3 linked regions of the Rattus norvegicus genome follow. The protein of the gene in region 2 binds, or shares a complex with, the protein of the main gene of each other region. Links are inferred from orthologs where the notes say so. Each region holds a gene or a part of one and is shown on either strand. Other genes may lie near its edges.

What was found.
Region 1: the proteins of Tuba1b (region 2) and Camsap1 are in contact, whole or in part, in a cryo-EM structure (PDB 6QUS), measured with the Homo sapiens proteins. The link is inferred for Rattus norvegicus from reciprocal best matches to the Homo sapiens genes TUBA1B and CAMSAP1. Residues at the interface, in NP_006073.2 of Homo sapiens: Lys112, Glu113, Asp116, Val409, Gly410, Glu411, Gly412, Glu415; in NP_056262.3 of Homo sapiens: Ser1471, Ser1472, Lys1473, Lys1557, Ile1568, Pro1569, Ala1570, Ser1574, Val1575, Ser1576.
Region 3: the proteins of Tuba1b (region 2) and Matcap1 are in contact, whole or in part, in a cryo-EM structure (PDB 7Z6S), measured with the Homo sapiens proteins. The link is inferred for Rattus norvegicus from reciprocal best matches to the Homo sapiens genes TUBA1B and MATCAP1. Residues at the interface, in NP_006073.2 of Homo sapiens: Asp345, Trp346, Arg422, Glu423, Ala426, Ala427, Glu429, Lys430, Asp431, Glu433, Glu434, Val435, Gly436, Val437, Asp438, Ser439, Val440, Glu441; in NP_001035805.1 of Homo sapiens: Lys219, Cys220, Trp223, Val226, Arg227, Gly237, Glu238, Val239, Val240, Val241, Gln242, Leu243, Met253, Met254, Val255, Glu256, Asn257, Ser258, Arg259, Pro260, Thr261.

What each region holds. Positions count from the first base shown.
Region 1 is NC_086021.1:29,201,318-29,205,728, forward strand, and holds the start of Camsap1 (calmodulin-regulated spectrin-associated protein 1), read right to left. Parts: upstream 2,868-4,411; 5' UTR 2,559-2,867; coding exon 2,402-2,558; intron 1-2,401. UniProt on the Homo sapiens protein: Key microtubule-organizing protein that specifically binds the minus-end of non-centrosomal microtubules and regulates their dynamics and organization. Specifically recognizes growing microtubule minus-ends and stabilizes microtubules.
Region 2 is NC_086025.1:131,969,780-131,974,115, forward strand, and holds the start of Tuba1b (tubulin alpha-1B chain), read right to left. Parts: upstream 2,809-4,336; 5' UTR 2,710-2,808; coding exon 2,707-2,709; intron 1,641-2,706; coding exon 1,418-1,640; intron 1,287-1,417; coding exon 1,138-1,286; intron 973-1,137; coding exon 1-972. UniProt on the Homo sapiens protein: Tubulin is the major constituent of microtubules, protein filaments consisting of alpha- and beta-tubulin heterodimers. Microtubules grow by the addition of GTP-tubulin dimers to the microtubule end, where a stabilizing cap forms.
Region 3 is NC_086037.1:50,068,481-50,071,221, forward strand, and holds the end of Matcap1 (microtubule-associated tyrosine carboxypeptidase), read right to left. Parts: intron 2,055-2,741; coding exon 1,749-2,054; intron 1,659-1,748; coding exon 1,561-1,658; intron 771-1,560; coding exon 606-770; 3' UTR 535-605; downstream 1-534. UniProt on the Homo sapiens protein: Tyrosine carboxypeptidase that removes the C-terminal tyrosine residue of alpha-tubulin, thereby regulating microtubule dynamics and function. Also able to remove the C-terminal phenylalanine residue of alpha-tubulin TUBA8.

The sequences.
Region 1 (4,411 bases), on a different chromosome or scaffold from region 2:
TGCAAGCTGAATGCTAAGGTTAAACAAAACCAAACAGGCTCACCTTGTTAAGGAAACAGAATCCAAGTAACTACTTCCCCATGCCGACCTTGAAAACAGAAGAGCACCTGCCTAGCAAAGCCCTGAGTTCCAACCCCAGCACACAGGTTCAAACAATCCATATACACCAGAGTGAAGACTTGTAGATAGGATGAGAGCTCTGCCTGAGAATACAGACTACACCAGGACACGGGGTAGGCTAGCCTTGGCCAAATACTACACAGTGAAGAAAAGGATGCTGACAGTTAGGATGAACCTAAGAACAACTACAGGGCAGGAGAGGTGGCCCAGTGGGTAAGAGCACTAGCTGCTCTTCCAGAGGACCCAGGTTCAATTCCCAGCACCCAAGTGTCAGCTCACAAATGTCTGTAACTCCTAATCCAGGGGATCTGACCTCTGTCACACAGAAATACATGCAGTCAAACCACCAATGTACATTAAATAAATTGTGAAATACAAAAAATGAGCACACGTCTTTAATTCCAGCACTCAGAAGACAGAGGCAATGGATCTCTGTGAGTTCAAAGCCAGACTGCTCTACCTAGGAAATTCCATGGCACATACTGTTCGTTTTTAGAAAGAGAGAAAGAGAGAAAGAGAGAAAGAGAGAAAGAGAGAGAAAGAGAGAGAAAGAAAGAAAGAAAGAAAGAAAGAAAGAAAGAAAGAAAGGCAAAATTGAATGATATAGCTTAGAATAATGTCAAGCAAAACAATGATGACATTAGGTGGGAGGTGGGGCAGAGCCGGGTGTGTGGAATCAGCAAAGGAAAGAGGGTAAGACTGGTGGCCAGGCACTCGCTATCCGCTCTAGTTAGGTATCAAACACCTTTCCTCAATTGCACATTGGGGGGGGGGGGGGGCGGCGCAGGTGTTCAAGACAGGGTTTCTCTGTGTGAAGTGTTGGGATTAAAAGCATGGGCCACCGCCACCCATCTTCAATTGCACTTGTTTAAGTCAGTGAAGCCAGGTACACAGCAATCTTTCCTTACCACCTTGCAAAACCTACAACTCAACAGAAACAGTGACCAAGAATTGTAAGACTGAAAATTGTTAAAGAATTTCAAACTGAAAATTATAAAAGAATTTCTTCCTCACTGCTAGTTTTACACCACAGTGTAAGCAGTTTATTTAATCCCAAGGCTCACAAAACTATGACTAGTTGGAGGCCACTGTCACAGAGAACACCTGCTTAGCAAGTTTTCCAATGTGGTCACCTAACCCTTTCCTGAAAGGGTTATCTCAGTAACCCAGTCTTCAGGTAATGTTTTTGCCAACACGAGGATAATTTATGCTTCATTTATCATAGCTTTATGCCTAAAACAAGATACTTGTCCTGATACTAGAGCTTCCCAGTCAACTCATTACAGCACTGTTTGGTCTGCAAAGTTCCCAGAGTACCACACTAGAGCGTCTTAATCCTACTAAGCATATTAGGCTTCATAAATGGGGCTTCATTACAAGGTTACCTTGTTCTTCACAACGGGAATTAACCAAAGGAGATAATGATGGTTTCTGCACAATCTATGTTACACACAGTTTATCTTGGAGTATTCAATAGCTCGTGTTAAGTACCAAACCAAAATTCATAATATATAAACCAGAGTGGCTGGGACTAAGTCTCAAACTACCCAGCCTTCTAGCCATCCTGATGCAGTAAGGCAGTGGTTATTCAGGTAAGAGTCCTTGGACTCAGAGGACCAGCCCAGTCGACAAAGAATAACACTGCACATGATAGGCACCCTCCGCCCACCCGAGACTCAGAGCACGGATGACACGCGAGCGCAGTCCCGTGCCTGGACCGACCCTGGGCTACCTCAGCGCTCGCTCACCTGGGCCGCTGCCAGAACAGCAAGACTTGAACCGACACCACGCGAAGGCGCGCCTTGGCCCTGTCACCGGCCTCATTCTCAACCTTGGCTCTGTCTCCATCCCTTGTCCTTAGACCTTACACCCCACTCCCGTGCGTCCTATCCTCCCCAGCCCCCGACCTGTCAGATCCCCTCTGGTCCCAACCTGCCCTGTCCGTCCAGCGTCCAAACCTGTGGTCTCATCCCCCGGCATGTCAGTCCCCTATTCTGACCCCTCTGGTCTCACACCTGGTCTAGTTCGTTCCCCGTCGGTCTCCCTCCCGTCCTATTCAGCAACCGCCGCGTTCCCCTCTGGTCCCATCCCCCGTCCCAGTCCGACCTGGGCTCTGGTCCCATCCCCCGGCTCCCGCACCCGTCCGACACCTCCCGGTCGCATCCAAAACCAGTGCGTCCCCCGTCCGCTACCCTCTAGTACCATCCCGGAACCGGATTCGTTCCCCCTCGGTCCCCTGTATTCCCATCCCCCGACCCCGGACCCCGCCGCGCCCGCCCACCTAGGCCATAGGCCTTCGCACAGATCCACTGCAGGTTGGCGGCGATCTTGGCCCGCGCCGCGTCGTAGCGGTCCAGCGGCACCAGGTCCGCGCCCTCCGGGGGTGCCTCCATCCTCCTCCAGCCTTCGGCGGCAGAGCGACCGCCCGCGTCCACCATCTGCAGACAAAGGCCGCGGCGGCCCGGCCGCAACAAAGACGCCGCCGCCCTCCCGCGCCGCCCGCCCGGGCGCACGGCCCTTACTTCACGGCCGCCGCCGCCACCCAGGCTGCTGCTGCATGCTCCGGGCGCCGAGCCGAGGCCGAGAAGGCGCCGAGCAGGCCGGGCAGGCGGCAGCGGGCAAGCGCCGGCCAAGGTAGGCGCGAGGCAGGCGCGGTGCGAGCACGGGCCGGGGGCGGCGGCGGCGGCGCGTGCGCGGCCCCGGAGAAGCGGCAGCTGAGGCGGCTGCCAACGGGTGGGAGCTAACGCGCCGCCGCCGCGTCACGCAGGCGCACTTACCGCCTCCCGCAGCCCCACCTTTCTCCGCAAGCGCAGTAGGCACCGCCCCGTAACACCCCCCGCTCGCCCCGCCCTCCTCCCGCAGGCTCCGTACCTGTCCCCTTCTTCAGACGCTCTAGACACACCCTCAGCCCCGCCCCGGCCCTGCTCCTCTGCGGGCCAGTGGACACGCCCCTCCAACCTAGCCCAGTCGGGGTTCTTAGTAGCTGTGGACACACCCTCGGCCCCGCCTCTACTTCGTCCTCAAGGCTGTAGACACGCTTGTCCATCCAGCTCCTTCCCCTCCCCTGCCACAGTGGACACGCCCCTGACACGCCCCTGTCCGGATGCCGCGCAGGCGCAGTATTCTCTACTGAGGGCTAGCTTGTTTCCCAGCAATTTGAGAGACTAATCTCAGGCGCTGCTGCTTGATTGGGCCACATTCCTGCGTCCAGGGACTGGTTCGTCTCTACCTTTGGGCAAAGCCGGCTCCCTGAGAACTGAGTGCCTTTACAGTCCGAACAGGCGCTGCGTCTTTGGACAGAGATGCCGAGACGTCTCTGCCAAGACTGGCGGAGTGTGTGAGGCTCGGGAACGGCACCCGAGATTAGCCTAGAGAAACAATCCCCGCAGCTCTCTCGGGTGTCCGGAGCAACCGCGAGCCACGCCTCCTTCCTGGTGGGCACTAACATCTCTCACCCAGGTTTGGCGTAAAAGGGAAATGGATGCCAGCCTAGGACCATCGTCACGTGTGGCCTGCATTCTAGTGCTTGAAAGGAGCAATAGTATATTTGTGAAACCTGGGTGCGGAGGAGAAAGATGTCACTGCAGAGCGGACCGTGTGGACCAGCCTCTAGGAAGCCGCAGAAACCCACCATCTCGGGCATGGGTGGACTTACTGACCATCATCTGCAAGCTTCAAGGTGCTAAACTTCTGTCATTGTCAGAGCCACCTTACTCATGAAGAAGGCAGTCGGTAGAGTGCATGCTGTACTGGTACCCGTCCCTCAGGTGCCGAGGAGAGAGTGCATGTAGTCAGATCAAGCTGTGGATGAGCCTGGACATGGTGTCCCATGTTTGTAATCCCTGCACTGGGAAAATAGAGGCAGGAGAATCTAAATGAAATTCAAGACCGGCTTCAGCTACTGGAGATGAGACCCTGTCTCAAAAAACAAAACAAACAAAAATTGGCATGTGGCCTCGTGGCAAGTATCTTGAATCCAAGGATTTAGGAGGAAGAGGCAAGTGCATCTCAGTGACTTCAGAGCCCCACAGTTTCTAATCGAGTTCCAGGTCAGCCAAAACCACAGAGTGAGACCCTGTAAAATGAAATAAAAATTGGTTAGGGCTGTGTATCCACGGAGAGACAACAGACATTTGAGCAGAAAGGGGTAAGAAGTAAGCCAGGTATCTGTCTGAGGAGCTGTAGACTGGGTTGCTATTGTAGGCTGATCTAAACCCCAGTGTGTAAAATCGGCAAGGCCCAGAGCTTGGGGCCAAAGGTAGGGTACAGCAGAACTTGACTTGATTGGGAT
Region 2 (4,336 bases):
CTCTCCTTCTTCCTCACCCTCACCCTCCACAGAATCCACACCAACCTCCTCATAATCCTTCTCTAGGGCAGCCATGTCCTCACGGGCTTCAGAGAACTCTCCCTCCTCCATGCCCTCACCCACATACCAGTGCACAAAGGCACGCTTGGCATACATCAGATCAAACTTGTGATCCAGGCGAGCCCAAGCCTCAGCAATGGCTGTGGTGTTGCTCAGCATACACACAGCTCTCTGGACCTTGGCCAGGTCGCCACCAGGTACCACAGTGGGAGGCTGGTAATTAATGCCAACCTTGAAGCCAGTGGGGCACCAGTCCACAAACTGGATGCTGCGCTTGGTCTTGATGGTGGCAATGGCAGCATTGACATCTTTGGGGACCACATCACCACGGTACAGCAGGCAGCAAGCCATGTATTTACCATGGCGAGGGTCACATTTCACCATCTGGTTGGCTGGCTCAAAGCAGGCATTGGTGATCTCTGCTACAGAAAGCTGTTCATGGTAGGCTTTCTCAGCAGAGATGACAGGGGCATAAGTGGCCAGAGGGAAGTGGATGCGAGGGTAGGGCACCAGGTTGGTCTGGAATTCTGTCAGATCAACATTCAGGGCCCCATCAAATCTGAGGGAAGCAGTGATGGAAGACACAATCTGGCTAATAAGGCGGTTAAGGTTAGTGTAGGTTGGGCGCTCAATGTCGAGGTTTCTACGACAGATGTCATAGATGGCCTCATTGTCTACCATGAAGGCACAATCAGAGTGCTCCAGGGTGGTGTGGGTGGTGAGGATGGAATTGTAGGGCTCAACCACAGCAGTGGAAACCTGGGGGGCTGGGTAAATGGAGAACTCCAGCTTGGACTTCTTTCCGTAGTCGACAGAGAGCCTCTCCATCAGCAGGGAGGTGAACCCAGAGCCAGTTCCCCCACCAAAGCTGTGGAAAACCAAGAAGCCCTGGAGACCCGTGCACTGGTCAGCCTGTGGGAGAAAAGGACATATAATGTCTTATTACCAGGGCATACACTATTTCAATTCCTTTAGACTGTGAGCCATCTCTACCTGATAGGAAAGACCTGACACATTTTGACAGATACCAAGACACCCTCCCACTGCATTTTAAACCCATCCACATAGGGTATTTACCAGCTTGCGAATTCTGTCCAAGACAAGGTCAATGATCTCCTTGCCAATGGTGTAGTGGCCACGGGCATAGTTATTGGCAGCATCTTCCTTGCCTGTGATGAGCTGCTCTGGGTGGAAGAGCTGGCGGTAGGTGCCAGTGCGAACTTCATCTGAAAAAGGAGAAGACGTCAGCCATCACCACCAAGGACCCCACAAGCTCACTCACCCTTCCGGGTCTGGAGAGACATTCTGAGTATGTGACCAAGAAGGACTGCCCCAGGGAAGCCCCCAGTCCACTTACCAATAACTGTGGGTTCCAGGTCTACGAACACCGCCCGGGGCACGTGCTTGCCAGCTCCTGTCTCACTGAAGAAGGTGTTGAAGGAGTCATCTCCTCCCCCAATGGTCTTGTCGCTTGGCATCTGGCCATCAGGCTGGATGCCATGTTCCAGGCAGTAGAGCTCCCAGCAGGCATTGCCGATCTGGACACCAGCCTGGCCGACGTGGATGGAGATGCACTCACGCTGTGGAAGGGAAGGAAGAAAAGAATATTAGCAATGTTGCAAGCAATTGAGTTCTTAGTGGCACAATGTGACAAATTCGGCCACTTAGGCGTGGTTACGGCTTTCCCTTTCTGAATACCAATATACAAAGGCCGTTCATCTACCGTCTCAGCTCTACTTTTGCTCTGGTGTCCAGATTTCAGAACAATTCTAGGCACAGGAAGCACTCAGCTGGAGCAGGGCAGGGAGGTGCCTCGCTGCAGGGACAAGGGGCTGGGCTCTGCCGCAGGTGGTAAAGGAGCAATTTTGAGAGCATGCGCCTTGAGCAGCCTGGAGGCTGTTGGCTTTCAGCTTCCTCTATTTGTAGGCACAGAGTTCAGCTCCTCCACATCTGTCTTGGTTCAGCAGGGGATTATCAACTGCTGCGATCCGATTTCTGTTCCCTCAAAACACGTCAATGTCATCATCTGGTCCCACCCAAATTTCTGACTGGAGATTTGAGGGAATATTGCCCAAATTCCTTATTGCTTTCATTAAAAGCAAAAAGGTCGTGGCTGAGATTGCAACTCGGCAGTAGCTGGTTTAGGATGGTAGAGATCCTACGTTTGAACTTCAGCTTAAAACAGGGATCCAACTGGAGACACACCCAAACGAATTAAACCCGCAGTGCCTCAGCGCGCACGCGCACACTGCGGAGGCTCTTCCCGCCGCTCTCAGGCGGGAATGTAACGGTTGCGCATGCGTCCTTTGTCTCCGGCGCCTTCCCGCCCCCGCCTTTTCGCGCTAAAGAGGAAGTGAGGGCGGGGAAAAGCCGCGCGCGCCCGAAAAGCAGCAAGCAAGTCAGGGATGGGGGAAGGGCCCCCGCGGGAAGACAGCAGTCTGAAAGCGCCACGCTGCAGGTTTTGCGCAGGGTGTGATGATTGGAGACCGGATTCCAGAGAGATCCGAGTGCTTCCCTTCTGCCCCAAACCACGGACGTCCCCAGCATCATGGGGCCCAAGCTCTTCCGCACGCGCACCCCTCGATCATAGCCCCGGGCGAGCTCCTCCCTCCCCTCCATCTCCCCTCTCCAGACCAAACCACTCACCATGATAGCTACGGGTTAGAAGGCGAGGGTGATAGAAGCAGACACCGGGTCCCGGTTACCGTTCCCGACAACTAAGAGTCGAGGTAAGTAACGCAATGAGGCGGAGGCGCCCGCGCCGGAGCCTCTTAAGTAGCAGCTGAGGAGGGGCGGGCGCGACCGCTGGTCACGGTCCCTCCCCGGACCAGCCGCGTCCATTGGGCGCCCGGCCTGACCGCCGCAGAGGCGGGCTCGGCTCCGAGCCCCCTCCCTGCGTGGGCCCGCGGGGCGGGGCCGCCGCCGCCGGGGCGCGCGCCTTGCTGCAGCCAGGGGCGCGCCGCTGCAATGCGGGGCGGCAGCGGGAGCTGCGGCAGAGGTAACTAGGGGAGATTCACACTATGTGGGCGAACCCTGGAACCTGGCCGGCCCGCAGTTTTAAAGGTGAAGAAGCATCCTAAAATGCTTGTGGTCCAGATAGCTCGGTTGATTCTATTCATGTGGTCACACTGGATGAGTGAGTTTTATCTTGCTCCTTGCTTCCTTTAACGCCTGTGCATTTTGAACTTACCTGCGGTGAAAGCCCCCTTTGAAGGCGAGTCGCCATACTTGATACATTGCTCGTCCTCGATACTAAGGGTATCAAGTACTGGAAGCACTTTCAATCACCCAAGGAAAGGGTGGTAGTAGCTAAGCATGAAATATTGAGCTTATTGAAGTAAGGGCAGAGTAGGCCCCATCTTTAGCCTTAAGCTATCAACTGGATGGAATAACCTAAGTAAGGACTCTTTGAAAAGATTTCTAAACATTTGAGGCAGTAGCTAAATGGAACAAGTGAGGCGAAACTAGAAGGAAAATGTCTCACAGAAGAATATTAGGGATTTCTTGTGCTATGTAAGTTTCCTAAAAGGATTGCTTGGCGCTGTGTTGCATATCGGATTATAAACTACCCCCGAATTTATTTCAGGACCATAAACTACTATTCATAAGGTGATCGGCGCTAACGTGTGGCTTTAAAATTGCCCTCACATTGCAATTACTAAACTATTCAAAATGTCCTCCCGGCAGAGGCGGCACAGAGCACAGATCCTTTGCAGCTGTGCAGCCTGAGAACTCCCCCTTTCAGATCCTCAGGCGCCTCTTAGTCAGGTGCCCTGGGATTCTTGTCATAGTGCAGCTAAACACAATTCCAGGAGTCACAGTAAAGGAATGCTGTAGCCAGTTAATTAGGAGAAGGAGCAGACAGGAGTTGAGAGCAGGATGCCCCCTGTTAGAAGAGGAGGGTCTAGAAGCTTCAGCAGCAGTTTTGTGGGTAATTTGGGGGTCTAGGAAATGGTTCAGTTAGGACCGGAGCTTGATTCCCCAGAGCCCAGAGGGCGTGGGGGGACAGTCATGGTGGCTGGTGCTTGTATTGCCAGTGCTGCAGAGACACAGGCTCAGAGGCTAGCCAGAATAGCCGTTCTGGATTAGTTCCAGGTCAGTGAAACCATGTAACAAAAACAAGCAAACAAGGGGGAAAACAGAAATACACCCATATATAAATTGGTAGGTGTGATAAATTTAAAACAAAACTAAAGTTGATCACTCAATCATATGATGCTCACCTATGTGCTATGTATACACACACACACACACACACACATAACACACACACACC
Region 3 (2,741 bases), on a different chromosome or scaffold from region 2:
CAAAGTGTCTTGCCCCTGCACAAGGAGCTGCTGCTTCCCAGCCCCACCTGGAGGCATGGAATAACACATGGAGGCAATTGTGGAACAATGTATGACCGGTGAGACAGACAAAATGCTGAACGGCAAAGCCCAGCCCAGCTGGGTCCTTCAGTGACAGACAGAACCCTATGCTCAGGCAAGTCACCTCAGAGAGGATCCCCACCCCCACCGGCCCCAGTGAGAGGTAGACAGTAAGAATGTTGAAGGAGCACCAATAGACCAGGTTTGGTTGGGGGAATGAAAGAGTGGTACCAGACACCCAGAGCCATCTCATGCAGGAACAATTTTCTATTCCCAAACCAACCCACATTTCTATTCACACTCAGCTCCCATCCTATCCCCCCCCCTCCTCTGTTCAGGAGTTTATGTGACATGCTGCGGCTAGTTCACAGGCCCCAGGAAGGTTAGCAAGGACAAAAACCTTCTGATGTTGCTTCTCATCTTCCCAAGATGCTCCTGTCCTCCCAAATGCCCCCAAGAAACACCTAGGCTATGGAACCATAAAGAACTTCGTATTCTGATCTGAGACCTCTGCAAGAGCTTCTGTCTATAACCCTTAGCCAATATCAGTCAGGCAGCAGGCGGCCCAGCTCCGCTTCATCTAGCCGGTTGGTAGTCATGATGTGTTCCAGCTGCTGCCGGTAACGATCCAAGTCCTTCATGAAGTGGGGCACTCTGGTTTTATCTAGTACCCCATGGGGTCGCAGTTGTTCCACATCTTCATAGGAGACCTACAGGAAGAAAACTAAGCCTCAGGGCTAATCAAAGTGCCTGGCTTTCAAGTGCCTGATGGCCCAGGGCCACTTGCTCCCAAGATGATGCCTTCATTCTTCATTGACTCCTACATTAGATACCTTCAGGCTCTATCCTGGGTCTTCTCTTTCTCTCTCCATCTTTTATCTACCTTGAACAATGCATTCCTCTGCAGCCTGGCTTATCCTCTCACCTCTAAATAGTATTCAGTGGATACCTGGGATTCTCTCAGGTTATCTCCCATATCCAACAAAAGACTGCTGAATGTCGGCTGTCTGTCCCCATTCAGAGAGTCCAACAGATAAAGAGTTCTATTATCTGTAGTGGCCACTGACCGGTTAGGTCAGACCATTATCAATTCTGTCAGAGCGATGGAAGACCTTCTGCTCTGGCCTATCTAGGCCTTTCATTTCCTGCACTTCCCATAGGACATCCAATAGGAACCTCCTAAAGAAAATAAATCCATGTCCACACATTAGGATAGCCCTCCTGATCCCCTTTGCTTTCCCTAACCTGGTACAGGATGAGGGCCTTGATTCCTGGCCATTTCTCCCACCCTCTTCCCCAAAACTTCTTGACTGCTCCCTGTCTTGGAACGCTCACCTCCCTTAACACATATGCACACACCTGCAGGCTAGGTCACACACCGGATCTGGGCTACCAAAACTTTGTTTCCTTTTATCTGCCTTCCCAAGTATTCAGGCCTTCATCGAATATGACTCAGAAGGGCAAAGAAGGATGAGCTAGTTGGGCCTTTCAGCCCTTTACCTTGCCCAGCGAGGTCAGCAGCTGGAAATCGATGGTCTGACGGTGCCGCAGGATGCGCAAAATGCCATCCAGGTACACCTGGTCCTTGCTGAAGCAGCCTGTGAGAGGGATAACCAATCGAGCCTTACCCAAAAGCCACCCTTCACCTTGCCCCGGCTTGAGCATTCTCCCGACTCCACAGTTCCCACCTGGCAGTGAGGTATCCGTCTGTCCTCGCTTGGCACGGACGCAGTACTCCCAGCGTACATCCTCATCTTGCACGTATTGCTCCAGATCCTGGAAGAGCTGGCGGAAGGACATGTGCGCCGCCTGGTGGATGGTATAGTAGAGCAGGGCGGCACGCCACAGGAACGGTTGCTTTCGAAACAGCACACTATGCAGGCTGGCCAGGCCCTCCTCAGTGGGATTGGCTGGCCGAAGGCCGTATTGCTGTCTGCCTTCAGTACTGTGCCATGGTTGTCGCGAATTATTCACACCACGCAGGTAGTGGGTGCCTGCAGGGAGGATGGGGAGGTGGCAGAACTCTTAGATCTTCATGCCCCGCCCCCAAATTCACTTCATACAAGTCATCCCAAGCCCTACCTAACTAAATTCATTCTTAGCCAACTCCAGATAACATGAAGACGTCTTGGTTCAGGGCAATGTCTTTTCTCCCCATTTTCTCATCTCCTGCACCCCAGTTCATACTGCGTGTCCCAGCCCTTATAGAGACCAAGCACGTGCCACCTTGCGCCAACATCCTAATGCCCAAGCCAATCATCTTGGCAGTCATGCAAATGCTCCAATCACGACCATTTCTGGCCTAGAGCAACAAGATTCCTGTCTGGTGAGAACGGACAGGAACTAGTGTCTTGTGTTTGCCTCCCTCACCTGGTCTATCTTCTGAACTTTTATCCCTACAATTTCAAGCGATTCCTAGGATCTATCTAGCCTGCCACCCACCCTGGAACCCCACAGGATTCTTTTTGGCCTCTCAGAACCCCTTCACTGTCAAAAAAAAATCAGAAAAGAACTGGAGATAAACTCGAAAGGAAGAATGCAGGTCAGTCCACGAGTGAGCAGGCATGTTTGCCTGGACTACTTTTACAAACACAAAGGATAGAGTATCTGCTTAGGTATGAACAAGCCTGTCTTCTCACAGAGGGAAGGAAGGGGGAGAAAGAAGGGGAGTACTGAGACCC